2 linked regions of the Elephas maximus indicus genome follow. The protein of the gene in region 1 interacts with the protein of each later gene in a biochemical or structural test. Links are inferred from orthologs where the notes say so. Each region holds a gene or a part of one and is shown in the gene's direction. Other genes may lie near its edges.

What was found.
Region 2: the proteins of ARF6 (region 1) and RAB11FIP3 form a complex in vitro, tested with the Homo sapiens proteins (2 studies listed by BioGRID). The link is inferred for Elephas maximus indicus from reciprocal best matches to the Homo sapiens genes ARF6 and RAB11FIP3.

The regions. Positions count from the first base shown.
Region 1 is NC_064828.1:62,169,651-62,184,453, forward strand, and holds ARF6 (ADP-ribosylation factor 6), read left to right. Parts: upstream 1-6,423; 5' UTR 6,424-6,632; coding exon 6,633-7,160; 3' UTR 7,161-9,858; downstream 9,859-14,803. UniProt on the Homo sapiens protein: GTP-binding protein involved in protein trafficking that regulates endocytic recycling and cytoskeleton remodeling. GTP-bound form plays an important role in the transport of multiple palmitoylated proteins form the Golgi to the plasma membrane.
Region 2 is NC_064830.1:57,691,276-57,706,078, forward strand, and holds the start of RAB11FIP3 (rab11 family-interacting protein 3), read left to right. Parts: upstream 1-5,809; 5' UTR 5,810-5,907; coding exon 5,908-6,462; intron 6,463-14,803. UniProt on the Homo sapiens protein: Downstream effector molecule for Rab11 GTPase which is involved in endocytic trafficking, cytokinesis and intracellular ciliogenesis by participating in membrane delivery. Recruited by Rab11 to endosomes where it links Rab11 to dynein motor complex.

The DNA.
Region 1 (14,803 bases):
CACCATAGTATGCAAAATTGTGCGTGTTGGGTGTGTATCTTGGAGGTGAAGGATTACAAAACAAGGACAGATCAAAATTCATAGACCTACATGGGAAAAGAACTTACCAATTACTTCAGTGGTTCTGAATCTTAGCTGCACATCAGAATCAGTCAGGGAGCTTAAAAAAAAATCTAATCTAGATATTTTGACTTTATTGATTTGTGGTGGGACCCAGGCATTTCTGTGGTTTAAAAGCAGCGCAGGTGATTTTAATGTGCAGCCAGGCCTGAAAGACATTGATCTTGTCCATCGTTCTGATTTTGCAGGTGGACATAATAATTCAGCATGGTAGAGAAAATAACACCAGACTTGGATTAGAAAATCTTAATTTGAATTATCTCTTATCATTTATTTATTGCCTCAGCTCCTTTAACTGTAAAGGGGAATCAGAATACATACGACCATAACCAATTAAGAGAGACTTCCCTACTGCAGGAATAGAGAAATTGATGCTCAGTAACAGGGACAGATTATCCAACAAAGTAAGCACAATGCTTACCTTGCTTACCAGGTCATCTGTAGTGAAATTGTTCACTACAGATTAGTAAGTAAGCACAAGCAAGCCTGTGCTTACCTTACTTACTAGGTCATCTACCCCTGCCAGGGATTATAAATTTGAAGAGGCTTTCATTCTGTAGGAAAATGCTGTGTGGTTGGGAGAGAGACGGATGCCAGCCATACCCATAAACACAACCTTCGATGTGGTGAAAAAACGTGAAATTGTTCACTACCTTGCCTCTTGGATAACCCACTCCAGCTCAATAAAGACGAATACCTTTCTTAAATTATACCTAACTCCAGAAGTGTTGGGATAATTTAAGGATGTAAATTAGCTCTTTCGAGTGGTGTAACTTGACCATTTTGCGTCAATATTTATTTTCAGGATCTGAAGCCATAACTATTAAGAAATTTGCTAAAATATCAACTATAATTCAATGCTTTTAGTTTTACCATTCCCAATTTTAATCTTGTTAAAAATGAGGTAATGTCTTCATACTTAAGCATACCCAAATAAATTATCAAGGTTTCAACTAAGATGTGATTTTTTTTTTTTTTTGGTTAAAGAGGAAAAACTAGAAAAGTTGGTTCTCAGCTGATATAGGGAGAGGACGATGGAGAGGACTACCATTTTGGTTTCCATAAGTGTCCCTTCACACATTTAAAGATATCCACTACTACTACATCCATTAAGGTTACGAAAATTTTTACAAATGAAAACAACTTGTTTTCATTGGATATTTTTAGTTTTTTTTGTTGAGAATCTCAATCTTTACTGTCTGTGTTTTCATCAAAATGTTTGAACTTTATTACATTATGTGCCAGGCATTATGCTAGGCACTAAGGATCTAAAAATGAAAAGGACATGGACTCTCCCTTGGAGAGCTATATAAACACATAGGTATAATACTGAGGGAAGGCTAATTCTATTGCCCCAATTAAAAGTTACAGTTGGGAAGAATTAGTAGTTTTTCTACATATTTTATTTGCTTTTTATTTCTACTATCTTATAGACTTCCTAGGACTCTGTGCCTTCTCTAAACTAGATAGAGCTCAGTTTTGAGTAAGACTGGACTAAAGGTTCAAAATAAAACAATAAACAGGGGATGGTATCTTCATTAAACAAGTATATGGTCAGTCCACCTTGCCATGGGATCACAAGTGTCCTGGCACTGAATGGGATAAAAGGAAACACGACCAGGTCATACAGAATGAGTCATTTTTAGGAGTGCTACATTGTTGACAGGTGCTGTTGAGTTGGCTCCGATTCATAGCAACCGTATGTGCAACAGAACAAAACAACACCTGGTCCTGCGCCATCCTCACAGTCTTTGCTTTGTTTAAGCCCACTGTTGCAGCCACTGTGTCAATCAATCTCGTTGAGGGTCTTTTTCGCTCTCTACTTTACCAAGCATGACGTCCTTCTCCAGGGACTGATCCCTTCTGATAACATGTTCCAGTACAAGAGACAAAGTCTTGCCATCCTTGTGTCTAAGGAAGATCCTGGATATACTTCTTTCAAGAAAGATTTGTTCGTTGTTCTGGCAGTCTATGGTATATTCAATATTCTTTGCCAACACCCTAATTCGAATGCATCAATTCTTCTTTGGTCCTCTTATTCATTGTTCAGCTTGGGTCAGGTGCACCTTAGTCTTCAAGGTGACGTTTTACTTTTTACACTTTGAGGAGGTCATTTGCAGCAGATTTGCCTAATGTGATAAGTTGATTTCTTGACTACTGTGAGACTGTCCATGACAGCCAAAGTACTACTTTGAGTATATCCCACCTGAATTTAGAGACCATCTCACTAACAAATTTGATGAAGACTAATGACCAAAGGTCAGCTGAGTTGTGGCATGACATCAAGGACATCATAAATGAAGAAAGCAAACCAAACAAAAAACCAAACCCATTGCCGTCAAGTCGGTTCTGATTCGCAGTGACCCTAACGTCATTAAAAAGACGGGAAAGAAAGAAAAGACCAAAATGGATGTCAGAAGAGACTCTAAAACTTGCTCTTGAATGTAGAGTAGCTAAAGTGAATGGAAGAAATGATGAAGTAAAAGAGCTGAACAGGAGATTTCAAATGGCAGCTAGAGAAAAGTATTATAATGAAATGTGCAAAGACCTGGAGATAGAAAACCAAAACAGAAGAACATGCTCAACATTTCTCAGGCTGAAAGAACTGAAGAAAAATTTCAAGCCTCACATTGTAATACTGAAGGATTGAGCTATAGGAATTCCAAAATAGGGGTAAACAGTCAGGGGTGCTGTTATTAGAGAAGATTCATTCTTGAATTTAAAAACAAATTATTCATTTATTTATTTTGGTGAAAATATACACAACATACTGTACTTCTACAATTTTTACATGTAATTCAGTGACATCGATTATATTCTTCAAATTCTGCCACCTTTCTCAACAACCTTTTCCAAACCATTTCACCATCATTAACACAAACTCACTGCCCCCTAAGCTTCTCATCTATCTTTTCTAGTTGCTGTTGTCATTATTCATTTTAAAATCAGAAAGCAAAGCCATTTTTAAAAAGTAAATATTTTTCTTATAAGCTGGTATTTTAGTCAGGATGTCTTAAGCTTAAGCATATTTTATGTGGATGTCAGATTAAAAATTACGAAATACGGCTTTCTATGGAAGTGTGGTTTGTAAGGAAGCTGGAGGAATCTCTTCATTTACAGACTTTGAAATAAAAGCATAGATCAATTTTTCCATAGTTAGCTTTTGGAACTTTGTTTTCAAAATTTAAAAACAGTGAAATAAAGCAAACTGAAAGGTATAATATTTTGTTCCATAAATGCCGATTTTAGTTTATCTATATTTTACCAAAAGGAAATATGTTTAAAACTGAAATTTAGTCTTTTAAAATTGTAATAACTTTAAAACTAAAGAAGAAATCAACAAAAGGTTACATCAGTGCTATGATTTAGTAGTTGTCAAAACTTACCTCTTGCAGAAGTTCTGGTTTCATTAAAATTCACTTGGTTTTTTTTTTTTTTTTTAACTGGCATGATTTTACATACAATGTTCAATTTTTTTGATGTATTTACTTTCGGACCAGTGGTTAAGAGCTATGGCTGCTAACCAAAAGATCGGCAGTTTGAATCCACCAGCTGCTCCTTGGAAACCACATGGGGCAGTTCTAGTCTGTCCCACAGGGTCGCTATGAGTCAGAATCAACTAGGTGGCAATGGGTTTATTATTATTTATTGTGTGTTATCATTATTACTTAAAATAATTCACTGTATAATTTCTAGTATGATGATCCACTTTAGATATCTAAGATAAGCCACTATATGAAAAGCTTGTCAATTGACCTATTATTTATCATGAAAGTAGTCTGTGCCTTTCCTGTCTTGTTTTGCCTATCATAAAAGACATTAATTCATTTGAATAAAGATTTAGCTACTACTTACATGCTTTCTTCTAGTCACGGGGGCACTGTACTAAATGAGACAAAGTCCCTGTCTCTGTGAAGCTTGCATTCTGAAGAATATAAATGGGAAATGACTTTTAAAAATAAATTTTTTAGTTCTAGCACAGTGCCAGTGCCAGGTAGATGCTAGTGCTTCATTGCTTCTGTTTTTAGTTACATCATGTCCTCCACTAAAAAATAAAGGCTGTTCCTTAACTATACATCTATATATGTATATACATATACCAAGCCCAGCAGATCTCCTATTTGTAAAAACTGTAATTTGCTTTGAGAAAACTATTATGTTCAAATGGATCAAAATATAATACTTGGAACTATTTGCCTCATAAGAAAAAATTCTTCCCCCAAGTATGGCCATGGCTAATGGCACTTTATAAAGCACTTAAGAAATACTGTAACTGAGTCTCAAAACAACTGTGTGACAGAGGTAGGGAGATAGCACAATTTTTGGATTAAGAGCATGGACTGTGGATTCATGATTTAATCTCAGTTCTGTGACCTTTAAAAAATTACTTAACCTCTCTGACTCTCAGTTTCCTCATATATAAAATGTTAATACTCAAAGCTACCTCGTACGTGTGCTGTATTAAAATAAAATACAATATTTGAAGTATTTAGTACAGTACACTCGATAAATGGTGGCTATTTTTTATTCTCATTAGGGATAATATCTTAACCTGACTTTACAGGAAAACAAACAGTTCATAAAAGCTGAGACTTAAGGATTCATAGTTATGAAATGGAGGGGTGACATTCAAACTCCGATCCTCTGATTCCACATCCTTCTTCGTTTTATTACAGTGCCTCTTAAGACAAATATTAAGAAAATTAGATCACTGTTAGAATATTAATAACATTAATAAACTCATTTCATACTTAAGTTTATAAGGTTTTTAACCTATCTACCATCATTAATTTTCTTAAATTTTGAAATGTTAGCACATGCTACATTACAGCATGTTTATTAAAAAAACAAAACTATATTCCGGGTTTTTTCCCTTTAAAACAAGCAAACTGATCCACTGATTCCTACTCAGAGCGACCCTACAGGACAGAGTAGACAGAGCTGCCCCATTGGGCTGCCAAGGAACTGCTGGTAGATTCAACCGCCGACTTTCTGGTTACCAAGCTCTTAACCACTGCGCCACCAGGACTCGTTTTTCCCCTTGATTGGGAGTATTTACTTAGAAACCACTACTGATCACATAAAGGAGACATTTAAATACAAAAACTTTCAGCATCCTAAAAAAGTTGAAAGCGCGGCAAGGTACGGGAATTCAAAATGCTGTAATTTTTAAGAAACGTGGGCTGGTCCTGACGAGATCTGTAAGAGAGAAGTTTCAACCAGTCAAAAGAATGGTTTCAGAGCAAACGTAGCCCGGTAAAAGTGCAGCACTGACAGATTTCTGCATGAAACACTGACCTCCCACGTGTCTTTCAGAAAACACACAGAACACAAGAGATAAAGGAGAGGCCCGGAAGGAAGTAAAAACAGCGGATAGGGCTTCCCAGGGAGACGGAGGGTGCGCGGAGTCTGGGGCGGGATGAAGGGAACTTGGAGAGCATCTGGCGGGCACCGAGGTCTAAAAGGCCTGGAAGCGGCGTGGGGGAGGTGTTCTGTCGTGGGAGCGTTTCCCCGCGAGCCCCACTATGTGGAGTCCAGGTGGATTTACTCCCCTGGTTTGGGTAGAAGTGAGGAGGACAGAGCGCGGGAGAGAAAAGCGGAGAGACGAGGAGAAGTTAGACTAGTGACAGGGGGACGCGGACCAGAATCCAAGGTTCGCGGGCCTTCTGGCGGGCCGCACCCGCAAGGCCTCCGAGCTACCGTAGCCCCGCCTCCTCCAGCGAGTGGCGCCCATGACGCTAGGCGCGCGGGCCGCTCTTCTTACAGAGGTCGCTCTTGTCCGAACGGTCGGCCTCTGCTGCGCCTGCGTAGTTGGGAGGGGAAGTGAGGCGGTTTCCTCGGCGCCTTTTCCGGCGGTGGCGGCGGCAGAGCTGGGAGGAGGAGGTAGAGGCCGGAGCGAGCCCGCGCTCGGGGCGGCGGCTGGAGGTAACCCCCCGGGTTGAGCTGGAAAGGCGGGCCTCTCGGACTCCGCTCCCTTTCGGAGCCCGGGCAGTAACTTCGCTCTTCCTCTCTGTGTTTCTGCAGGCAGCGAACCGAGTTCCCGCGAGGATCAATGACCTGACGAGGCGCCGGAGCCGCACTGCCTCTCGGGTGGCCTGGGTCGGTGGGGAACTCGGTGCTTACGGACCTCGGGCGGCCGGAGAGCCTCAGTCTCCCGTGGCTGGGTGAGGAGAAGGCGGAGGAGCGGGAACCGCGGCGGCGCTGGTGCGGCGCCTGCGGGGGGAAGGGCAGTTCCGGGCCGGGCCGCGCCTCAGCAGGGCGGCGGCTCTCCCGGCGCAGACTCAGGGCCCCGGCAGCGGCGGCGACAGGAGGAGTCAGGGTGTTCGGTTGGGGATGCCCGAGTGAGCAGCGGGCCTGGGCCTCTGCCCTTAGGCGGCAACTCCCAGCGAAGGCCGCACGGGCGCCCTCGCGGCGGGGAGGCTTCGTTTCGTTTTCGCGGCGGCGGCGGCGGCGTTGTTGGCTGAGGGGACCCGGGACACCTGAATGCCCCCGGCCCCGGCTCTTCCGACGCGATGGGGAAGGTGCTATCCAAAATCTTCGGGAACAAGGAAATGCGGATCCTCATGCTCGGGCTGGACGCGGCTGGCAAGACCACGATCCTGTACAAGTTGAAGCTGGGCCAGTCGGTGACCACCATCCCCACCGTGGGTTTCAACGTGGAGACGGTGACTTACAAAAACGTCAAGTTCAACGTATGGGATGTGGGCGGCCAGGACAAGATCCGGCCGCTCTGGCGGCATTACTACACCGGGACCCAAGGTCTGATCTTCGTAGTAGACTGCGCCGACCGCGACCGCATCGATGAGGCCCGCCAGGAGCTCCACCGCATTATCAATGATCGGGAGATGAGGGACGCCATAATCCTCATCTTCGCCAACAAGCAGGACCTGCCCGATGCCATGAAACCCCATGAGATCCAGGAGAAACTGGGCCTGACCCGGATTCGGGACAGGAACTGGTATGTGCAGCCCTCCTGTGCCACCTCAGGGGATGGACTCTATGAGGGGCTCACATGGTTAACCTCTAACTACAAATCCTAATGAGTGTTCTCCACCCATTCCCCCGGAAGGAGAGATATCAAAAACCCATTCATAGGATTATCGCCACCATCACCTCTTTCAGTTGCCACTTTCTCTTCTTTTGAATTTGAACTCTGGAGTTACTGTTCTATGGTTGGGGGTGGCGTAAGGGTTTTCTTTTTGTTTTTTTTCCTTTTGCTTTGCCTTAGGATGCTCTGATCTGTCATTTGACATGAACACAAAAAGTGCTAGATGCTCTTGTTGACTTCCAGTAAATGGGGTGGGGGAAATATAGCAATTCTTGGTAAAGCCCTTTATAATAATGGTTTGATTTTTTTATTTCGAGAGAATCTTTTTTTCCAATGTATGCTTTTTTTCTTTTTGTTCAGTTTCCTTATCACTTGCTGTAGATGGCTTATTTTGCATTCATGCAGACTCTGTTGCAAGTCTGTTTCATCTAGTAAACTGAAAATTATTGCTTAATCAAACTGCCGTTTGTCTTTTATATTTAAGGCCTTTTTCCCTCCCTTATGAGTTCTGATTTTAACTTGGTAATTTCGAATGTGACCTTTTATATCTAAGACCAGTATAGTAAATCTAGCCCACAGTGGCAAATAATGAGTAATATCGTTGTAATATGTTCCAGTTGCACATCAGTATGTTAAACAGGTAATGTAAGAAGTTCTTTGAAACGTCAGCTATAAAGTTCTGAAACATACATCATGCATGAGTAGGGATAAAACCCAAGTTCCCCATAACAGCTAACTATGCTGCATTAGACTTTGAAAGTGTAACCTGTCACGGACACAGATCTTTTCACTGCAAAGCTAGCAACTTTGCTGTGTTTTCCCTTTTTTAACTTTGGACTTTCCAGAAATTGGAGCAATAATGGTGTATGCCACACACAGATGAAGTATTTGTAGATACTTTAAGTGACTTTTTGGCAGATCTGGAAAATATACTTTTTTCTTGTTTTGAACAGCTAAGACTAGTAGATTTAAAATACTTTGTTTGTTAATAAAGCATTTAACAATTCAAATTATATGCACATTTTACTTAAAAAAAAACACATTTCCTGTTTTCACATTACAGCAACTGATTAAGCTGAACATATAAATCATTTTTTTACACAAGAGTGATCAACATCTTCATGAATTAGAACACTGGAAAACATGTTTTATAAAAAGATAATTTTGTTAAATTGTAAAATTAACTCATGCAAGTAGTAAGTCACATATCTTGTTGGTTCAGTAATATACCATCTCCTTTAAGGAAGGAAATGATGTGTAGACTTAAGGAATGACAAAGGGAAAGTAGGATGAAGAGAAAGAACCTACAGATGACAATGAATGTAAACTTACTTTTGAAGGGTAAGCAGTGTGCTCACTGGTGATATTCAGATCCTAACAAGATTACTTGCTTAACTGGTTAGGACCAGTAACTAGGTTGTTGAGACCACTATGATAATAGTTTGAACCAGATGTTAATAATGCATGATAGAGAATTGTGAAGCAGCATTTGGTTCTTATATAGCCTTAAGGATTAATTTTAGAGATCCTCGAGGAATTAAACTTAGGGAACTTCAGAAATGAAGACTGAAAAGGCAGTATACAGGAAAAGGTTTTGTTAATGAGGGTATCTGCAGACTAAAATTGAGTGGGTTATCATGGTATAGTTGGACGGTATTGGTCCTTCACGCTTTGGCCATATTGTATAATGGAGCTTTTACCAAAGATGTATGAGAAACATAAAGTTACAAAAGATGAACTATTCACAGTAAAACTCTTGACAAACGTTTTCCTTAAAGCAGATGGGAAGAGGTGCTATATTATAGCCTCCTAATGGTGCAAAGGGATTTTTGAATTTAATGTGCAACTAAGGTATAAAGTGTTCAGTTTCACTTTAGTGGAAGTATGTAGAAATTAGGCTGACAGATGCATCTAAGAATATTTTGGTTGCCTTTAAAATTCCCAAAGCTCCATCATAAATTTAATTCTTAATGTTTTAAATGATTACATTTTAAGGTCTATGAACATGGACTATACAAATATCAATGCTGTAGGAACATCCTGAAACAAGACAAGCACAAAGGTATAAATGCCTAAACTGGAGGAAACTTGAAACCCTCATGTTAATTTTTAAATGTAGTATTTCTAACTTGTGACAGATTGGTAGGCAGCCATTTTTTGTGTGTGTGTCTTAAAATAAGTGGGGACAGTTAAAATTTTATACATCAAATGATGGGTTTTGAATGTTGCAGGTGAGATGTGGTTATTTTTGGTTTATTTGAAATGTCTGACTGAAGCGGGGGGAGGGAGAAGCAAATACTTGAAAATTGGAAAACCCTAGATCCTTTGGTAAGAAATTGTAATTCTCACATTTTAAGGATAAAGAGATTTATAATTGATGTAGGTAAATCGAACCATAACTATTGGTGATCATGGCGGAGGTAATTATACGCTGCAGAAGCTATAGTCTTAAGAATTTAAGGAACAAAAAAAAAGATCTTGAAGTTTTTGTTTAATTGCATCAACTTCTGTATTTATGTGAATTTATAAACTGCAGTAAGTTTTGAATGAGGTTAATCTTGTCTAAGTAAATGAGTCTGTAGACTGTGATCTCCCCAAACTAAAAAGTACGGTTCTTGGAATTGTGTTCTTTATGGTTGTAGTGTTGGTAAAGCACTGATATGCAGAAAATAAAGGAATTACACAGTGCAGTTTCTCACGTTATGTTACTCGTTTGAACTAGATAAGTGGGGTGTGTGGTATGTTGGGCTATGTTATTTTTCCATGGAAATATGGCATAAAGTGATTTAATTTGGGAGTCTCCTGGCTTTTATGAGAACAAAAAGGGGGATCAATTTGGTTCTTGTGAATACTGGCTGTATAAGGAGTCTTGCCCTCTTAGTTCCACCAGGTTTAATCTGATTTTCCTGATGATGTAGGACACCAAAACAGTTGAAGATGATTTTTAAAAATTAACGTTCTATAGCAGTCTTTTATGCTACCGTTTGTTTCAAAATTACAACCTTGTCGTTTTTAGGAATACAGAGTTGTGTCTAAAGAGTTGGTTTAAGGAGTTGTCTTAACCCTTGACAATATATTTCTGGATTTTAAAGTTAGACCTTTTTTTAAAGGTCCAAGCCGCTTATCTGATAAAATTGGCAGAATTGTAGCCATTTAGAAAGTGAAATAGTAAACAAAGAATAACTTCTTAGATAAAACGGTTCTTTTTAAAAACATTTCCTCTGGTAAGCTTTCCTTCCTGCATCAGTAATTTTTGTAGTTTGATTTTAGACTGCTTTAATGTGATCTATAATTCCCACATTAGTATTTATTAATATATTTAGTACTGTGATTTATTAATGAATGTCAACTATTATCAGCATTAGCAATAGAAAATATTTTACTCTTTGATGGCTTTTCATGGTTTAATATAAGTTTAGAAATACAGTAGCCATAATCTGAATGGTGAAGGAGTTTAAAAACTCCCCAGAGTTATTTTCTCAGTACCTTACCAAGTGTTTGTCAGGGTTACAATAAATCCAGTCTTCTGTCTTTTCTTATAGGTAGAAATTGGCATTTGTAAAACCACGTATAGCAATTAAAAATAACTTCAAGTCTGACTGATCACTGAGCATAATGTATTTGCAATATAACATTAAGTATAAATTTAATATTCAATAGAGTTAGCTTATTTGTTTATATTGAATAGTAGAAGACAAAATTGGAAAGATTACTGTATTAGAAGTTTATAAATGAAGTGTTGGGAGACGGAGCCGTAGAAGAGGCAAAGTAACTTCTTTGCGAGAAACTTGAAAAAGCTGCTAGACTAGATCAGTGAGTTGAATGGGCAGGGAACATACAGATGAGATCAAAGAAGACAGAACAGGTCTGCAGAAGGTTAGGAATAACAACTGAAATTTGTTACTTAGGAAGCTAAAGTAATGGCAAACTTACTTTCAAGGTAATTAAAAACTATAAGAACTAATCTTTGGTACAGTAAGAAAATGCTTGGAAATTTAACCTTTTTTTGCCTTTATTTCTAATATTTTATGACTAGAAAGAATTTTAAAATCAATGTGTTCTGTTAGCCATCTTGTCCTTGGACATTTTTGCCCTTTTTAATGTATCTCATATAGGATATATGTTTCCCTCATAGTGCCTGTTTTTGAGTTGGAATCAATGGCAACAGGTTTGGGGTTTTTTTTAGTGCTTGTTTTATAAGCATGAGGGTATATTTATTAAACATATTTACTGAAAGCCTACTAATAATACGCCTGTGGCAGCACTAGGTGCAGGAGATACATCAACAACAACAACAGAAAAACGGACAAAACATCGAACTTCATGGAACTTGTATTTGTTGGGGGTTGGTGGCCTTATGAGGATCAGATGATAAGTAAATTTATAGGGTGTTAGGGACTAGGACTATATGTTATATGGTATGTTATATATAGGGGACTAGGTAGGAACATGTTCAGAGAAAGCCTCATTTAAAGGTGACACTTGAGCAAATATTTGAAGGAAGAAAATATCACCCTGGAATTGACGTAACATAAAAGATATGTGTATATCATAGGTGGGAAAACTATGGCCAAGGGTATATCTGGATGTGGCCTATTTTTCAAAGAATTGTAAGGAAAAAACTAAAATGAATATGTGACAGACGGTATGTGTGAAAACCCTAAAATATTATCTGGCCTTTTATAGAAAATATTTGTGGACCCTGGGTCTAAAGACCAGTTTTTAAGACCTTACCAAGATTTTAAGGAAATCCAACAATTTAAAGCGAAAGACCATTGTTAAATGAATAAGTTCTAATCAAAATTTTAGAAAACAGTGGCATATGTAATTAATGGAATTTGCACATTTAGTAAGCCCTGAGACCTGTTACTGATTTCAAATATAGAATAGCCTAGCCTGGATTTTTTTTCTCCCCGAGTAATTTTAAATGTGTGAAATCAGGAGTTTCTCAGTACCAATATCAATTTTAACAGTCTTTAAAATTTTGTGAATAATTTCATTTTAAGTGTTTCCCTTTTTTAATGGTAGTTTTACTGATCTTTGGATTTAAGGTAAATGCGCTTCTCTGTTAAAGAGCCCTTTCTTCCAGATAAAACCCAGATAAGTTTGGAATAGGTTCAGATAACATCACTGAACTGTGGTTTTTATTCATTTGGTGTTAACTGTATTCGAGTCCTGAATCCAGTATTTTATATTATGAAACTTTTAAAAAGGAAGTGTTTTATTGACTTGGAAACTAATATGTTGCATGATAATGGCATTACTCCTTTAACCATTATAAACTACGAGAAAACTTTACTTCACACATGAAATATTTCTTGCTTGGAGAGTTGCTCTATAATGCTTGGAACATACCTATAAAGTACTGTGTGGGAACCTAAAACTATTTAAAAAGAGAAACTAAACAATTTAGCAAGAGTTATAGAAATGAGTATTATGGAAGACATTTATAAATAAGCTCTAAAAAAGGTGAAAGCACTTGTAGTTCATAGAAAGACCCATGAAACTGGCTATTTATGGCTGATTGCCATTAAAACTGAGTAGTCTGGCCTGAGAAGGGTGTAGCAGATGAAAAGGAAAGAGACAAATTTATTGAGGGAGTTAAAGAAGCAAAGATTAGATCTTGGAGGCTTATTCTAATATGGCAAACCAAAGTGCATTCTTTCAATTATCTTTTTCTTTCTAAAAGTTAGTTGTGTGAATAAGTCCTAGGTTGTAGCCAGGCCTGAAGAGATTAAACTGGTAAACAATTTAAGAATGAGAACATTTACCGAATGTTTGCCATGTTCCAGGCATTGTTCTAAGCATTTCATGTGTGTTAATTCTTTTAATCTTCACAACCACCTTGGGAGAAAGGGCTCCCATTTTATAGATGAGAAAACAGAGAGGTACATGTTAATAATAAGTAGCAGAGCCAAGATTTGGACTATGTGCCAAACTATGATTGTGACTGAGGTGAACCAGCAGTTAATACTGTAATTGTTTTTTGTATGTGTATGTTTTCTTACAAGTGGCTTGCCTTGAGTAATCTCTCGTAATTTTCTTTGATCATGAACAGATTTTTGAGTCTCTGTAAAATTTGTGTCCCTGTTGGAGTGTCCTGTATAATGGGGAACATGATTTTAGGCTCTGTGAGACTTTTTTTTTTTTCCATTAATAATTGAATGTGATTACTTGGTAAGATTGTGAATTTTACAGATCATCATGAAAAACAGGAAAAGTTAGTTTTTACTGAGCTGATTATTTGCATGCTTACTTTTGTATATGTCACTTTTAAGAAACAAGTTTTAGAAAAATGGAACTGAATGAAATTTTATGTGTATTGAACCTCAATTATAAAATTAAGTGTGTAGTTTTTATGAGCAGTCCTTCATTGGACTGATTAATGGGAGGATAAAAGTGAAATCCAACCCAATGGCTTACTAACTTGTGTGTTCCAAAGGTCATGAGCCAACTCGACCATGACAAAGTAGTTTTTAAAGGAATTGTAATGAAATAATATGCTACTGTATAACACAGTGAGACACCTACAATGTATACCTCCATTTTGCTGGTACACACGTGTGCATGCTTGCACACATGTATACACACACACACATACTGTCTCTCACACAATTTTTTGTTATAAAGCAGCAGGTTAATTGCAAGATACTGTGCAGAGATCTGATAAATTTGTAACTACAACCACTTCAGGTATCATTCAAATGAATAAAGGAATCTCTTGCTTTGTAGATGCCATTACAGTTCACTTTTTGTAAGTGAGGTCTACTTGAAAAGAACACTATATCCCCATGTGTATATGTGGGTCAGCTAGAGTACTTTAATCATGCACATTGGGGTTTAAGCTAGAATTTAGGAGTAAAAGTTGCATGCACATTGGATTTTAAGCTGAGATATAAGAGTAAAAGTTGATAATTTTTGTAAAATCTAAAATGCTTTATTTAAAAATTCTATTTTATTTGTCAATAACTTATATGAGGTAGAAATTTAAGGTTAAAACTTGTTGCTGTCAAGTCAATTCTGATTCGTAATGACCCTATAGGACAGAGTAGAACTGCCCTGTGGAGTTTCCAAGGAGTGGCTACTGGATTTGAACTGCCAAATTCTTGGGCAGTAGCCAAGCTGGTAAGACATAAAATGTGAAATGGTCAAAGTAGGCAATTAGTCCTGTGTTAAATACGAGATAGAAGGGAGAGAGATTATATTGTGGGCTGGAGTGGGCTAAAGAAGGCCAGTGGGGATTTAGCTAGACCTACAAGATCAGAATAATTATTTATTATTATTGCAGGCTCAGCATTGTTCTGAGTATGTTCCATGTGTTATCTCATTTAAAATTCATGAGCAAAAGTTGATGGGTAGTAACATACATAGAGTATTTGGGAGACAGAATAGACTAATCTGACTAGAGTTGCCAAATTTAGCAAATAAAAATACAGGGTGCCCAGTTAAATTTAATTTTCAGATGAATAATAAATAATTATTCTGTATAAATAAATATGTTACAAACAATATTTGAGACATACTTCTAAAAAGTTATTTGTCATTTAACTGAAATTCAAATTTAATTGGACATCCTGTGTATTATCTGAAACCCCATGTCTGACTTGAGTGGAAGGAGGGGACATATGGTTCAAA
Region 2 (14,803 bases), on another chromosome or scaffold:
AACCCAGACAGTTTCACCCAAAGGAAAGGGGAATGATGTGAACTAGATCAGCACCTCTTTGGGAAATGTAACCTGTGGCTAAAAAAGGAAGTTCTGAATCTTGTACAAACCTCAGTGCCTTCCCCAATCTGTGATTCTGGTCAAGGGGGAGGCAAGATTGGAGCCAGAATATAAACAACAAAGAGCCCTAGGTGTGGTGAGGACTTGTCCACTGTAGCTGCTTTGTCATCGCAGGAAGGTGTTAGTGATTTCAGAGAGAAATGTTAAAATCATCAAAACCTCAGGCTGAGTCAGGAGGATTAAACTGTTCTTACAAACTGATGTTCCATTTTAACTCTAAGAAAGGCACTTTACCAAATTTGAAGGTGAGGAAAAAAAATCTTTCCCTACTGAATAAAATCTCAGTAAACACGAGTGGGTAACTATAGTCACAAATGCTGGAGTATTATAGGGGAGAATGTGACCTAGACTTAAAATTGACTTTGTCTGTAAGCTGATTTGCTGAATACAAAATGTTAATCTAGTTTTCAAAATTGTAAATTAAAAATATTTGGCAGGCAGTTTTTTTTTATTAGCTTTATTGAAGTAGAAGGTCCCTGAGTGGCACAAATGGTTTGTGCTAAATTACTAACCTAAAGGTTGGCGGTTCAAACCCACCCAGTGGGACCACGGAAGAAAGGCCTGGCAATCTGCTTCCATAAAGATTATAGCCAAGAAAACCCTGTGGAGCAGTTCCACTCTGTAACACACGGGGTCGCCATGAATCGGGATTGATGGCAATGGGTTTGGGTTTTATTAAAGTATAATTAACATACAATAAACTGCATGTATGTGAAGTGGTTAGTTTGATGAGTTTTGACATGCCTACACCTGTGAACCCATCACCACAATCAAGATAATGAACGTACATATCACCAGCAAATCCTTCCTCCTGCCCCTTTGTAACCCCTCCCTCCCACCCCACCCCTCTATTGCCAAGCAACTATTGATCTGCTGTCACCATAGGTGAGTTTGCATTTCCTAGAATTTTAAATAAATGGAATCATACAGTATGCACTCTTTTTTGCCTAGCTGCTTCTACTGAGCGTTATTTTGAGATTCATACATGTTGTGTATATCAGTAGCTCATACCTTTTTATTGCTGAGTGGTATTCCATGGTATGGATGTACCACAGTTTATCCATTTACCTGTTGATGAGTATTTGGGTTGTTCTTAGGTTTCGGCTATTAAAAATATAGCTGGTATGAGGATTTATGTACAAATCTTTGTAGGGCTGGTATGGTTGGATCATATGGAAGTTGTGTATTTAACTTTTGAAGAAACTCCCAGAATGTTTTCCAAAGTGGTGCCATTTTATATCCCTATCAGCAGTGTATGAAAGTTCCAGTTCCTCCACATCATTGCCAACACTTGGTATCATCAGTCTTTTTAATTTTAGCCATTCTGGTGGGTGTGAAACAATAGCTCATTGTGGGTTTAATTTGATTTTCCTTAATGACTAATGATGTTGAACATCTTTTCATGTGGTTATTTGCCATCCATATATCTTTTTTGGTGAAGTATCTGTTTAAATCTTTTACCCATTTTTAAACTGGGTTGTTTGTCTTTTTGAGTTGCAGAAGTTCCTTACATATTCTAGTTACAAGTTGTTGTATATATGTTTTCAAAAAGTTTTTTCCAGTCCTTGGCTTGTCTTTTCATTTTTGTAACAGTATCTTTTGAAAAGGTACATCTTGAGTTTTAAATTTTGATGAAGTCCAATTTATCCATTTTTTTCTTTAATAGTTCATGTTTTTGCCTTATTTAAGAAATCTTTGCCAAACTCAAAGTCACTAAGATTTTCTCCTGTGCTTTTCCTAAGGTGTTTTATAGTTTTAGTTCTTACATTTAAATCTATTATCCATCTTGAGCTAACTTTTATAGGGTGAGGTAGGGGACTGTCTTAGTTATCTAGTGCTGCTATAACGGAAGCACCACAAGTAGATGGTTTTAATAAAGAGAAATTTACTTCTTCACAGTAAAGGAGGCTAAAAGCCCAAATTCAGGGCGCCAGCTCCAGGGGAAGGCTTTCTCTCTCTGTCAGCCTTCTCATCAATGTTCCTCTGGAGTAGGAGCTTTTCCATGCAGGGACCCCAGGTCCAAAGGACAGGCTCTGCTCCAAAGGACGTGCACTGGTTTCTTGGTGGTATGAGGCCCCCCACCCCTTTGCTTCCCTTTCATTTTTATCTCTTAAGAGATAAAAGGTGGTGCAGGCCATGCCTCAGGGAAACTCCGTTTACATTGGATCAGGGCTGTGACCTGGGTAAGGTTGTTACAATCCCACCCTAATCCTCTTTAAGGTAAAATTACAATCACAAAATGGAGGAAAACCACACAATACTGGGGATCATGGCCTAACCAAGTTGATACACACATTTTTTGGGGGACATAATTCAATCTATGACAGGGACTAAATTCACTTTTCTTGCATCTGGATATCCAGTTGTAACAGCACTGCTTTTAAAAAAATTATTCTTTCCTCCTGGAATTGTGTTGGTACTTGGACTCTATTCTGTTCCATTAATCTCTATGTCTATCTTTCCTCCAGTAACATGCTGTTTTGATTACTTTAGCTTTACAATGAGTCTTAAAAATCAGACAGTTTAATTCCTCTAACTTTTCCCTTGTGTTTCAAGGTTGTTTTGGCTATTTCAGCTCCTATATTATTTTCTGAGGGGTGCTGTAACAAATCACCACAAACTCGGTGGCTTAAAACAATTGAAATTTATCCTCTCATAGGTTGGGGGCCAGAAGTCCGAAATCAAGGTGTCGGCAGGGCCATGCTCTCTCTGGAGGCTCGAGGAATGATGGATTTGACCACTCAAAATTAAAGATTTCTGTTAACAGAGGGCCCCCACAGAGTTCATGGATGGAGATGATACTTGCAACATCTAAAACTGATAAGGGATTTTAAGGAAGTTCAGAAAACCCAATAGAAAAACAAGCAAGGGATACAAGTGGGCAGTTTGAAGAGGTGGAACCTGAGTTGGTCAATAAATAAATAAATGCTCAACTGCACTAGCATTAAGATAAGTGCAAATAAAAGGAGATAGCATTTTATATTAATCTGACTGTCAAAAATGTGGAAAATCATATATAACCAAACCAGTTGCCATCAAATCGATCCTTACTCATGATGACCCCATGTGTTTGAGTAGAGCTGCTCCATGGGGTTTTCATGGCTATGACCTTTTGGAAGTAGATCACCAGGCCTTTCTTCTGAGGCACCTCTGTGTAGGTTCAAACTGCCAATCTTTTGGTTAGCAGCATAGTGCTTAAGTATTTGTGCCACCTAGGGACTCAAAAAAATCATATACAGAGTCTACTATAACTTCGGTGTACTTCTTCCAAGTTTAAAAAAAATGTGCATAAAAAAATTAATCTGTGATTGAATTGAGCCTGGCCTCTGAACCTGACCCTCTCCTGGACACAAAGGATTCTGTCTCTCCTATCAGTGACTGAGTACCAGGTGATGAAGTGGCCCTTGGGGAGACATGCTTGCCCTGAGGTTTCCTGACCCTTTTACCCCTCCCTATGCCACATAGCAGGAATCTGCTGAGTCACCCAGGTTGGTTTCATCGGTCCCATCTTCCTCCACAAGCCGAAGTTCACTCAGGGAAGAGGGATAAAGGAAACCCACCTGCCCAACCAGTCCCAAAAGGTGTTTCTCCCAAGCATCCTTTCAAAAGTGAAGCTTTACAGAGGGAGCTTTTCACAGGAATTCACCTGCTCTGAAAACCAACAGATGTGCACTGCACCCCACCCTCCCTTCCTCTTTTGTGTACCTTTTGTTGTGTTGTTGTGTGTGACCACACAGAGAACTGCCTCATACGGTTTTCTTGGCTGCAATCTTTACAGGGAGCAGATGGCCATGTCTTTCTCCAGCAGAGTCGCTGGGTGAGTTTGAACCACTAACCTTTTGATTAGCACCAGGGTGCCTTGTGTGCTTTTTTACCTTTCTAAATATATAAATAAACGTGAGAAGGGCATTGTCAAAAGGGCGGCAGAAGCGGCTTCCTATTGCTTCTGGCTCATTTAATCTGGGCTGGAATGTTCTCGATTGAAATTTTACATGGACCATGAAGGGGACCCACTAGAATCTGAGTGAATAACCAGGAACTTACCGCTTTTAATTTTTCATGAACAGAGTTCTCTCTAGGTAGTCTAAGCAGGAAAATGCATGCTTTTGATGTCGCCATTGTGGGCACACCAGAGGGTAAGGCAGTCAACATTTTCCAGGGAGGCGCAGCGCAGAGGAGTGCCCGTCCACCCAAGCAGCCTTACCCTCTGACAGAATCTTACATAGAAAGCGTCACCTCACCCACACCAACACACCTATTTATAAAGGATGATGTGTCAATAAAACTGCCTCTGAAAAATGTGTCTGAGACCCATCAGCCCAATTTCCAATTCTTGCCCTAACTGGAGATGGCTTTTTCTTTGAACCCAGTATTTTCCACATGAAAGCTTGCAGCTAGAACACGGAAATGAGAATATATTTGGGGTGAGGGAGAAGGAAATCCTCTCTTTTCCTTTTCCAATGCCAGCCTCACAAAATCTGGTGCCCTGGGGTTTTGTATGGGAAATGATTCATTAATTAACATACTGCTCCTCAAGCATGTACTTAGAAACAGCGTGGTTGGGTTTCATTTGGCTCTTGCCAAAGCTACATACGAAACCATATATGGTGCCGGTGCCCACGGTATATAAAAATACGAGCTCATTATCTCCCCTGATACACTCCATCACTGGCTAAATATAGCGCCGCCTGGCCTCACAGCTCACCTGCTCCTAACCAGCACGTCTCCAGTTCCATGCCTGCCAGGGGTGCCTGGCTCCCCAAGGATGGCAGGGACACATGAAAAACAGACAATTACCAAGACAGACACAGCGCTCGGGAGGCGTGATGGAGACGCGAGTGTAACTCTGGCCGTCGTGTTTTTAAAAACCTTTGCCACAGGTTGAAACAAATGTCTCGCTGCTTCTGGATGCGTTCCTTCGGTTCCGAGTGGGAAGGGCCGCACTTTCCGCAAGAACGCCTACCTCCACCGCTCTGCGCGTGACCTCGGGGGCATCCCTCAACCTCGGGCACCTGCTTGAAGAACACCTGCTTCCTCAGGGAATGTGCGCTCCATTCCGTTTGGGTTTTGCTCTTTGCTGATCAATCTGTGCGCGCGTCATACGCAGGAAGGGCTTGGCTCCTTTGTGACATGTGCACAGTTTGGGCTTTTCGCTTGCCCCTTGGCGACATTTATCTGATGGGTGCGTAGGTCGCCGTCGCGCCCGCTGGGGCCCTCGCATGCCCAAACTTCGAGGATGCAGGGAGCGAGGGAGGGTACCCACAGGCAGACGGCTAAGCTACAGGTCTCAACCAAGACTGTCGGTTACCACCCAGGGCCAGCAGCAGCACCTCCGACCGGAACCTGGCGCCGACTTTCTTCTATATGGCCTGGGAGGGGCGGGGTCTGCAGACGCCGAGGCGTTCTGACGTCATTCAGGCGGGGGCGGGGCCAGGGGCCCCGGCGGCCGAGTCGGCTCACTTGGCATTTCAGCTTGTTCAGGCGCTTTGGCTCCTCCTCGATCTCCTCCGGTACCGCGCTGCCCTCCCGCCTCGACCCCTCCGCGGCCTCCTCGGGCCGCTGCAGCCATGGGCCCGCGTCCACCGCGCCGCCAGGCCGAGGGCAGCTGAGGCGCGGCGCGAAGATGGGCGAGGGTGGAGCAGGGCCCGAGCGCCAGCCGGAGCAGCCCGGGCGCCCCCGCCCGCGCCGCCGCCGGGATGCCCGCGCCCGCCGCCGCGCCCTGAGCGCCTTTGTCCGTCTGTGGAGCCGCCCGCGCCGCCGCAGCCTCGCCAGGCCGGCGCCGCGCCCATGAAGATGGAGCCGGGCCCCGCGGAGCCGCCGGGCGAGGGGCCCCGTGCTGGAGCATACCCCGGGCCGGGCGGGAGCCCGCGGCAGGAGCCGGACCCCGGCGCCAGCGAGGACACCTGCTCCGACGCCGGCCCCTTGGGCCCAGGAGGCGGCCTTCCCCCGCCGGCGTCGGCCTCCGGTCCCGGCCCCGACCCGCCTCTGCCGGAGCCCGGCCCGTTCTTCCCCTGGAGCGCGGAGCCGGGGGAGCACGTTGCCCCGAGCTGCCGGGAGAGCGCGTGTCTGCGCGTGGAGGACCTCGAGTCCCGCCGCCAGATGAGCTCCCAGGGAGGCTTTTTTGCGCCCTTCTCCGCCCTTGCGGAGGGCGAGCGGACGCTGGAGGGCCCGGGGCCTCCGCACCAACCCGGTCAGACGCACCCCGGGCCGAGCGAGCCCGCGGGGGCTCCGGAAGATGGTCCCCGCCTCCGAGCCGTGTTCGAGGCCCTGGACAGCGACGGGGACGGCTTCGTGCACATCGAAGACTTCGTGCAGTTTGCCACGGTCTACGGGGCCGAGCAGGTACGGGGCCGTGGCCGTCCTCCTGCAGTGTAGTTCGGGGGCAGACGTCCGCTGGGGTCGTGAAATGCTGGTTAGGACTTCGGTACCTGCTTTTCCTTTTTATTCCGCTCTTCTGCCTTCATCTCTGGTTTAATTTAGCTAAAGCCTCTTCCCCCTTATAAAAAAGGGAGTTTTATTTCAGGGACCTCGTTTTTTTCCCTTGCCTGCCCCCCAGCTCTACACAGCTGGATTCGTCCTAAACTAGGGTTAGCTTGTGGCCCCCGCGGCATCCCCCGAAGCTGCCTAATGAAGATGCCCTCCCTCTCCCCAAAGAAGAAGGCCCACGGTGGTTTCCCCAGCTCTCTGCCTTGGCTGAAGTAATGCACGAAGTGTTTTGGGTTAGGACCGCAAAGGCCAGGCTGCAGGCCCTGTTAGACCAGACCAATAGACCCCGATTTTGAGCAGTTACTTTGCTGTGTGTTGTTGGCATATATTTTACTTAGAATTGGCCTCTTTTATTGTTTAGAAGACAGGGGATGCTTGTAGAAAGTCCTTGGAGTTAAAAATTTTGACTTCTGTTCCTTTTGTGTGGAAGGAAAGGGAATGAGCCTTGGGGCACCCTGGGGAGTGCAAAGAGCCTGCAGGACTCCACCAGTGCTCCCCTCCCCCCCCCCCCCCCCCGCCCCACGCTTGTAGGCGGAGTGAGACTGTAGATAGGTGGAGAATGCACCTAGTGCTGGGGCTGCTACAGCCATTCCTCTCCTGTCTGTGTCAGCACTTAGGAAAGTTTAAACCTAAAACTGCCGTCGAGGCAATTCCGACTCATAGCGACCCTATAGGGCAGAGTGGAACTGTCCCATAGAGTTTCCAAGGAGTGCCTGGCTGATTCGAACTGCTGACCTCTGGGTTAGCAGTCATAGCACTTAACCACTACACCACCAGGGTAGGTGGAGACAGAAGCAGGCATGTGTGTTCTGCTAGAAATCCAGTGGTTAGCACATAGCTCGCCAGTGTTCACTTTTAAATATTTAACTTGGTAGGAAATCACTTAAGTGCTAATCTGCTGATTTTCATATTTTCTTCTCATACACACAGACATTTGTTAAGTGGCTGTTCAAGTACATATGCATGTTTGAGCCAAGGTGGTCTTTAAGAAGAGGTAAAATTGACACCCTGCTATTAACCTTTATGAGGGATTTTGAGCTCCCAGAGTATTTACAGTTCCTATTAAATTTTTTTTTTTTTTTTTTTTTATTGAGCAGTCCAAGTAAATCAGGGCTTCTTGCTGACCTGACAGTCCAGAATGATGTGCAGGTATGTGCTGGGCATCCTGAACATTGTTGGTGTCAGTGTAATGACCACATGGCATTTCTCAGAGCAGGTCTCCCATCTCTTTTTCGAATGGGCGAAAAGCTATCCAACCAATAGTTTCCTGTATGTTTGTCATGGGTTGTGGTTGCTGGCCTGAACTCTTGATATTTTCCTTCTTGCCTCTAGTCCCAGGAGCACCTTGGGTATCCTTGGTTGTTGTTTACTAGTATGATGTATCTTTTTTATCCAAACATGTGCTCTTGCTTCGTTACACCAATCAAAGGCCTTAGGAAAGCATCCTGTTTGCTCATCTTTACCAGCCCTGACTCCGGTAGAATAAATACTTTATAGCTTACATGATGCTCTTTGTCAGTTTCACTGGATCCTCATCATGAGTCTCTGAGGTGGTAAGTAGGCAAGCAGGAGTCATCTCCACTTTACAGATAAGAAACTGGAAAGCCCAGAAAGGTTAAATAGCTTTTCCAAGTCCTCAAACTAGTCAGTGCTAGAACAGGGACTATAACTAGGTCTTTCTCTCTTAATCCTTCTTACATGGTTTCTACTTCTTATATTTAATTGGTGGCTCAAAAATATCCCTGCAAACCTTTATCTTTTGATTTCCGTAAAGCTCTTTTCACTTGAGAAACATCTCTTGTAACTTTGATCACAGTGGGAAAAACTTTGGGTTGCTCTTTAGGGCTGAGCTTTCTTATCATTACAAAATAGAAATGAGTCTTTGCTCCTTTGCTCTGACAGTGTCTGTTGGAATTTGAAGTTTGGGGGCAAGGCCAGATGACTCAGGGGTTGGAGAGACCAGAGAATGCAGAGGAGCTTCTGTCTGCTCTTCCAGACTGCTCAGGAAGAGGACTGTTGGAAGAGATGCAGATGTCTTGACTTGGATTTTCCTCGTTGAAACTTGTTCTTGGGGTGGTGGAGGAGAGCTCGTGGTTTCTTTGAGCTGTTTAGGTTGCTATTTTGGAGTAGATAATTTACAGGGTAATGAAAAGTTAACTTTTATGTCCATTTAAGCTTTTGCCAGCCCTGGTGGTGTAGTGGTTAAGAGCTTGGCTGCTAACCAGAGGGTTGGCAGTTCGAATCCAACAGCTACTGCTTGGAAACCCTTTGGGGCAATTCTCCTCTGTCCTGTAGGGTCGCTGTGAGTCAGAATCAGCTTGAGGGTGATGGGTTTTTTTAATTGTGTTTCAGGCTTGTTTTTACCTAGTCCAACGTCAGCGTACATTATAGAGGAGCAAAGAGAAGAAATATTCTCTTACAGTGAAGGAGTTTAGAGAAGTCCACCGCATGATGATAATTTCTAAACTTTTTAAATGAAAAGTCTTAAACATACACAGAAGTAAAAAGAATGAAACCCCATAGCCATCTTCAGCACTCTTGTTTCATCTCTAAGCTCACCTGCCCCTACCCCAGGTTATTTTTGAAGCAGATTCCTGACAGTAGGTCATTTCATCCATAAGTACTTCAGCATACTTCTCTAAGAGATAAGGTTTCTTTTCTAAGCATTCATGATTATTTTAAAACTGTACGAACAGTTCAGTTAAACAACAATCAAGACCTTAGGTTTTTGTACTTTCCACCTTGCGATTTCAAAATATGGAGTGCAGGAGACTCAAGCCGGTCACATTACTGTCCTTGATGAAAGCAACTACGTTCTCTTGATTATTATTAAGTTTTCAGAGGTAGCAAGTTCAGTATCCTCTATATAATCTGTTTATGAAGGTAACATTCTAAATTATGTAAGTGGATTATCTGAATTTTTAATAGAAGCAGTTCCCATTTATAAAATACAGATGGCTTTTGTGTCCCTTTTTTTTTTTTTTTTTTTTTAGTGGTGTCAGGTGTGTTTGGATTTTATTACATCATCTGGTGGTAGATCAGGTGTGGTGTAGTGTAACACAGTGTTAGCAGGAGTCAGCAAAAGAAAGGACAGAGAGGACTCCAGGGGAGCTTTTTGGTTGTGTCTTCTTGAAGCAGGAATCTGTAGTCAGTTTTGTCCAGGCATTAGTTGTGGAGCTGGAAAAGGTTATTTATAAGGCCTCGACCATTTCTTTTTTTTTTTTTTCTTATTTTTATCATGCTTTAAGTGAAAGTTTACAAATCAAGTCAGTCTCTCATACAAAACCTTACATACACCTTGCTATATGCTCCTAGTTGCTCTCGCCCTAATGAGACAGCACACTCCTCTCCACCCTGTATTTCCATGTCCATTCAGCCAGCGTCTATCGCCCTCGGCCTTCACATCTCACCTCCAGACAGGAGCTGCACACATAGTCTCATGTGTCTACTTGATTTAAGAAGCTCACTCCTCGCCAGTATCATTTTCTGTCTTATATATAGTCCAGTCCAATCCCTGTCTGAAGAGTTGGCTTTGGGAATGGTTCCTGTTTTAGGCTAACAGAAGATCTGGGGACCAGGACCTCTGGGGTCCTTCTAGTCTCAGTCAGACCATTAAATCTGGTCTTTTTTACAAGAATTTGAGGTCTCCGTCCCATTGCTCTTCTGCCCCTTCAGTGATTCTCTGTTGTGTTCCCTGTCATGGCAGTCATCGGTTGTAGCTAGGCACTATCTAGTTCTTCTGGTCTCAGGCTAATGTAGTCTCTGACATATGTGGCCCATTCTGACTCTTGGGCTCATACTTACCTTGTGTCTTTGGTGTTCTTCAGTCTCCTTCGCTCCAGGTGGGTTGAGACCAGTTGATGCATCTTAGATGGCCGCTTGCTTGCGTTTAAGACTCCAGAAGCCACTCTCCAAGATGGGATGCAGAATATTTTCTTAATAGATTTTATTATGGCAATTGACCTAGATGTCCCCAACCCCCCGCCCCTGTTACGCTGGCCTTTGAAGCATTCAGTTTATTCAGGAAACTTCTTTGCTTTTGGTTTTGACCGTTTCTGAAGATTCTTTCTGACATGACCCCTTCATACTGAGAGGACTAATGCTCTTGTAATCAGAACCAACCCATCATAAAGCAGAAATTATAAAATTAATTCTAAGAATGTGTGAGAAAGTATAGGCTTCTTTTTGTTTTATTTTTCAAAGGAATTAAGTATAATCTTAAAGACTGCTTACACATTTTATTGGTTTAATCATTTACATTTTGATAGTCACCTTGAGACCTTTCAGAGAATCCTGCACGTTGAAGCATTGAATGCCCTTCAGTAACCTTGATAGTCATTGTCTGTCTTTGTCAGTACCTGTAAGAAGTCAGCTCCTGAAGTAAGTGTTGACGCTCAGAGGGTCTCCCTGCTTTTCATTTGTGCACCTTTGGTGGTGGGCATTTGGTAGTCCCTGGGACATTTGGGGAAACCCTGGTGGCATAGTGGTTAAGTGCTATGGCTGCTAACCAAAAGGTTTGCAGTTCGAATCCACCAGGTGCTCCTTGGGAGATCTGTGGGGCAGCTCTACTCTGTCCTATAGGGTCGCTATGAGTTGGAATCAACTCGATGGCAATGAGTTTGGTTTGGCCGGAGGACGTTTGGCTGTACCTTTTAGTTATTTCAGGGTCCTTTCCTATCTGTTTTAACCTTGAGATTGAGTGTGTGTGAGCATGTTTGGTGTGTGTGAGGATGTCTTTGTGTGTGGAAGGTTGTAGTGTGTGTGTATGTGTGAGAGAAAGACAGAACAAGGGCAAGCAGGTGTATGTTGGAGCTGGTATGAGTGGGTGTGGAGGGATGTATGCATGTGTGTGGGAACTGGTGTATGTGTGAGTGAAAGGGCGTGTATGGGAGCAGGAGTATGTGTGTGTGGAAGTGGCATGTATGTATGTGAGTTACTGTGTATGTGTGTATACCTCTGGGTCTGTGTGTACATAGGCTAGTCCGTGTATTGGTTGAATTACTAAAAGACAATGAGGTTCTTTTCTGTGTTAGGATTGCAGACAGTTTTGTCAGTGTCTTAAAAAAAAAAAAAAAAACCTTTTTCAAACATCAGAATAGAAACTAGATAACTGGGAGCCCCTAAAAATCAAACACCTATGCTCATCCAAAGACTTCACCAAAAGAGTAAAAAGATTACCTACAGACTGGGAAACAGTTTTTAGCTATGACATTTCTGATCAGCGTCTGATCTCTAAAATCTACACAATACTGTAAAAACTCAACTACAAAGAGAGAAATAACCCAATTAAAAAATGGGCAAAGTATATGAACAGGCACTTCTTTACTAAAGAAGACATTCAGATGGCGAACAGATACATGAAGAAATGCTCATGATCATTAGCCATTAGAGAAATGGAAATCAAAACTACAACGAGATTCCATCTCACTCCAACAAGGCTGGCATTAATCCAAAAAACACAAAATAATAAATGCTGGAGAGGTTGTGGAGAGACTGGAACACTTACACACTGCTGGTGGGAATGTAAAATGGTACAACCATTTTGGAAGTCGATTTGGTGCTTCCTGAAAAAGCTAGAAATAGAACTACCATACAATCCAGTAATCCCACTCCTTGGAATATATCCTAGAGAAATAAGAGCCTTTACACGAACAGATATTGGCACACCCATGTTCATTGCAGCACTGTTCACAATAGCAAAAAGATGGAAGCGACCAAGATGCCCATCAACGGATGAATGGATAAATAAATTATAGTATATGCACACAAGGGAACACTGTGCATTGGTAAAGAACAATGATGAATCTGTGAAACATTTCATAACATGGAGAAATCTGGAAGGCATTATGCTGAGGGAAATCAGTTGTAAAAGGACCACTTTTATAAGAAATTTTTTTTTTCTGAGACCACTTTTATAAGAACTGGAGAAATAGTTTAAACAGAGAAGAAAATATTCTTTGATGGTTATGAGAGTGGAGAGGGAGGGAAGGAGAGGGGTATTCACTAATTAGATAGTAGACAAGAACTATTTTAGGTGAAGGGAAAGACAACACACAATACAGGAGAGGCCAGCACAACTGGACTAAACCAAAAGCAAGAAAGCTTCCTGAATAAACCAAACGCTTCTAAGGCCAGCGTAGCAGGGTGGGGTTTGAGGACCATGGTTTCAGGGGGCATCTAGGTGAATTGGCATAATAAGATCTATTAAGAAAACATTCTGCATCCCACTTTGGGGAGTGGCGTCTGGGGTCTTTAACGCTAGCACACAGCCATCTAAGATGCATCAATTCATCTCAACCTACCCAGAGCAAAGGAGAATGAAGAACACCAAAGACACAAGGTAATTATGAGCCCAAGAGACAGAAAGGGCCACATAAACCAGAGACTACGTCAGCCTGAGACCAGAAGAACTACATGGTGCCCGGCTACAACCGATGACTGCTCTGACAGGGAACACAACAGAGAGCCCCTGAGGCAGCAGGAGAGCAGTGGGATGCAGACCTCAAATTCCCATAAAAAGACCAGATTTAATGGTCTGACTGAGACTAGAAGGACCCTGGAGGTCATGGCCCCCAGACCTTCTGTCAGCCTAAGACAGGAACCATTCCCAAAGCCAACTCTTCAGACGGGTTGGACTGGACTATGGGATAGAAAATGATACTGGTGAGGAGTGAGCCTCTTGGATCAAGTAGACACATGAGACTATGTGTGCAGCTCCTGTCTGGATGGGAGATGAGAGCGTAGAGAGGGTCAGAAGCTGGCGGAATGGACATGAAAATAGAGAGTGGAGAGGAGTGTGCTGTCTCATTAGGGAGAGAGCAACTAGGAGTATATAGCACGATGTATGTAAGGTTTTGTATGAGAGACTGACTTGATTGGTAAACTTTCACTTAAAGCACGATAGAAATTTTAAAAAAAGCTTTTTTCATATTATAAAAGTGACGTGTTATTTAAAAAACTGTACAGAGTGGTATAAAATATAAAATAAAAATGACTAATAATCTCATTATCCTGAGAAAAATACCATTAGTATTTTAGTATATTTTCTTCCAAATTTTTTGTTGCTTATACACACATGACTATGTATAAAATTACACAAATTGAGATCATATCAGGACAAAGCTTAATTGTTATTACATTCGTTGCTTAAAAAAAAAGCTAGATTATAGGTAGCAAAAGAAGAAAAACAAGAATCACCTATAACCCCACCATCCAGAGAAACTACTGTCACCATTTTGGTGTTTTCCTACAGAATGCATATATGCAAATTAAAATATATTTCAATTGCTTCATTGTAGAAAACTGGTGTAATTCATATCTTTTGCTTTGATCATCCCTTTAGGTCCAAGATTTTTAAATTGAGTGTCTCTGACATCAGGTGTGTATTTTAATGGATGCCTGAGGTTTACTTGTCCCCAGGAAGATTCAGAATTGTTAGGGATTATTCCAGTTTAGGATTTAACATGTAGGAAGGATTTAATTCCATCTAGACTGTACTGAAAAGGTTGTAAAGGACATCAAGTTTATGGATTGCCTCCCTTCCAAATGCTTATTTTGTTTAACTTCCAGAAACAGAGTCTAAACATTAGTTTATAATCTAAATATCAGGTGCAGGTGCGGGCAACGTTTCATTTTGTTGTGTATGGAGTGGCCATGGGTTGGGGATCAACTCACAATAATAATAACATCCACTTAAGACTACCATGTAACCCTTAAAAATGTTAATCACAAAGGTTTCAAAGTAGCAAACCCATTCCCACTGAGTCGAGTCGATTGTGAGTCATAGTGACCCTATAAGATGAAGTAGAACTGCCCCTTAGGGTTTCCAAGGAGCAGCTGGTGGATTCGAACTGCCGACCTTTTGGTTAGCAGCTGAACTCTTAACCGCTGCATCACCAGGGCTCCAACTTACATCGTTGTTGTTAGATGCCGTCGAGTCGGTTCCGACTCGTAGCAACCCTATGTACAACAGGATGAAACACAGCCCAGTCCTGTGCCAGCCTCACGATCGTTATTATGCTTGAGCCCATTGTTGCAGCCACTATGTCAGCCCATCTTGTTGAGGGTCTTCCTCTTTTTTGCTGACCCTCTACCAAGCATGATGTCCTTCTCTAGGGACTGATCCCTCCTGATAACATGTCCAAAGTATGTGAGACATTATCTCACTGTCCTTGGTTCTAAGGAGCTTTCTGGCTGT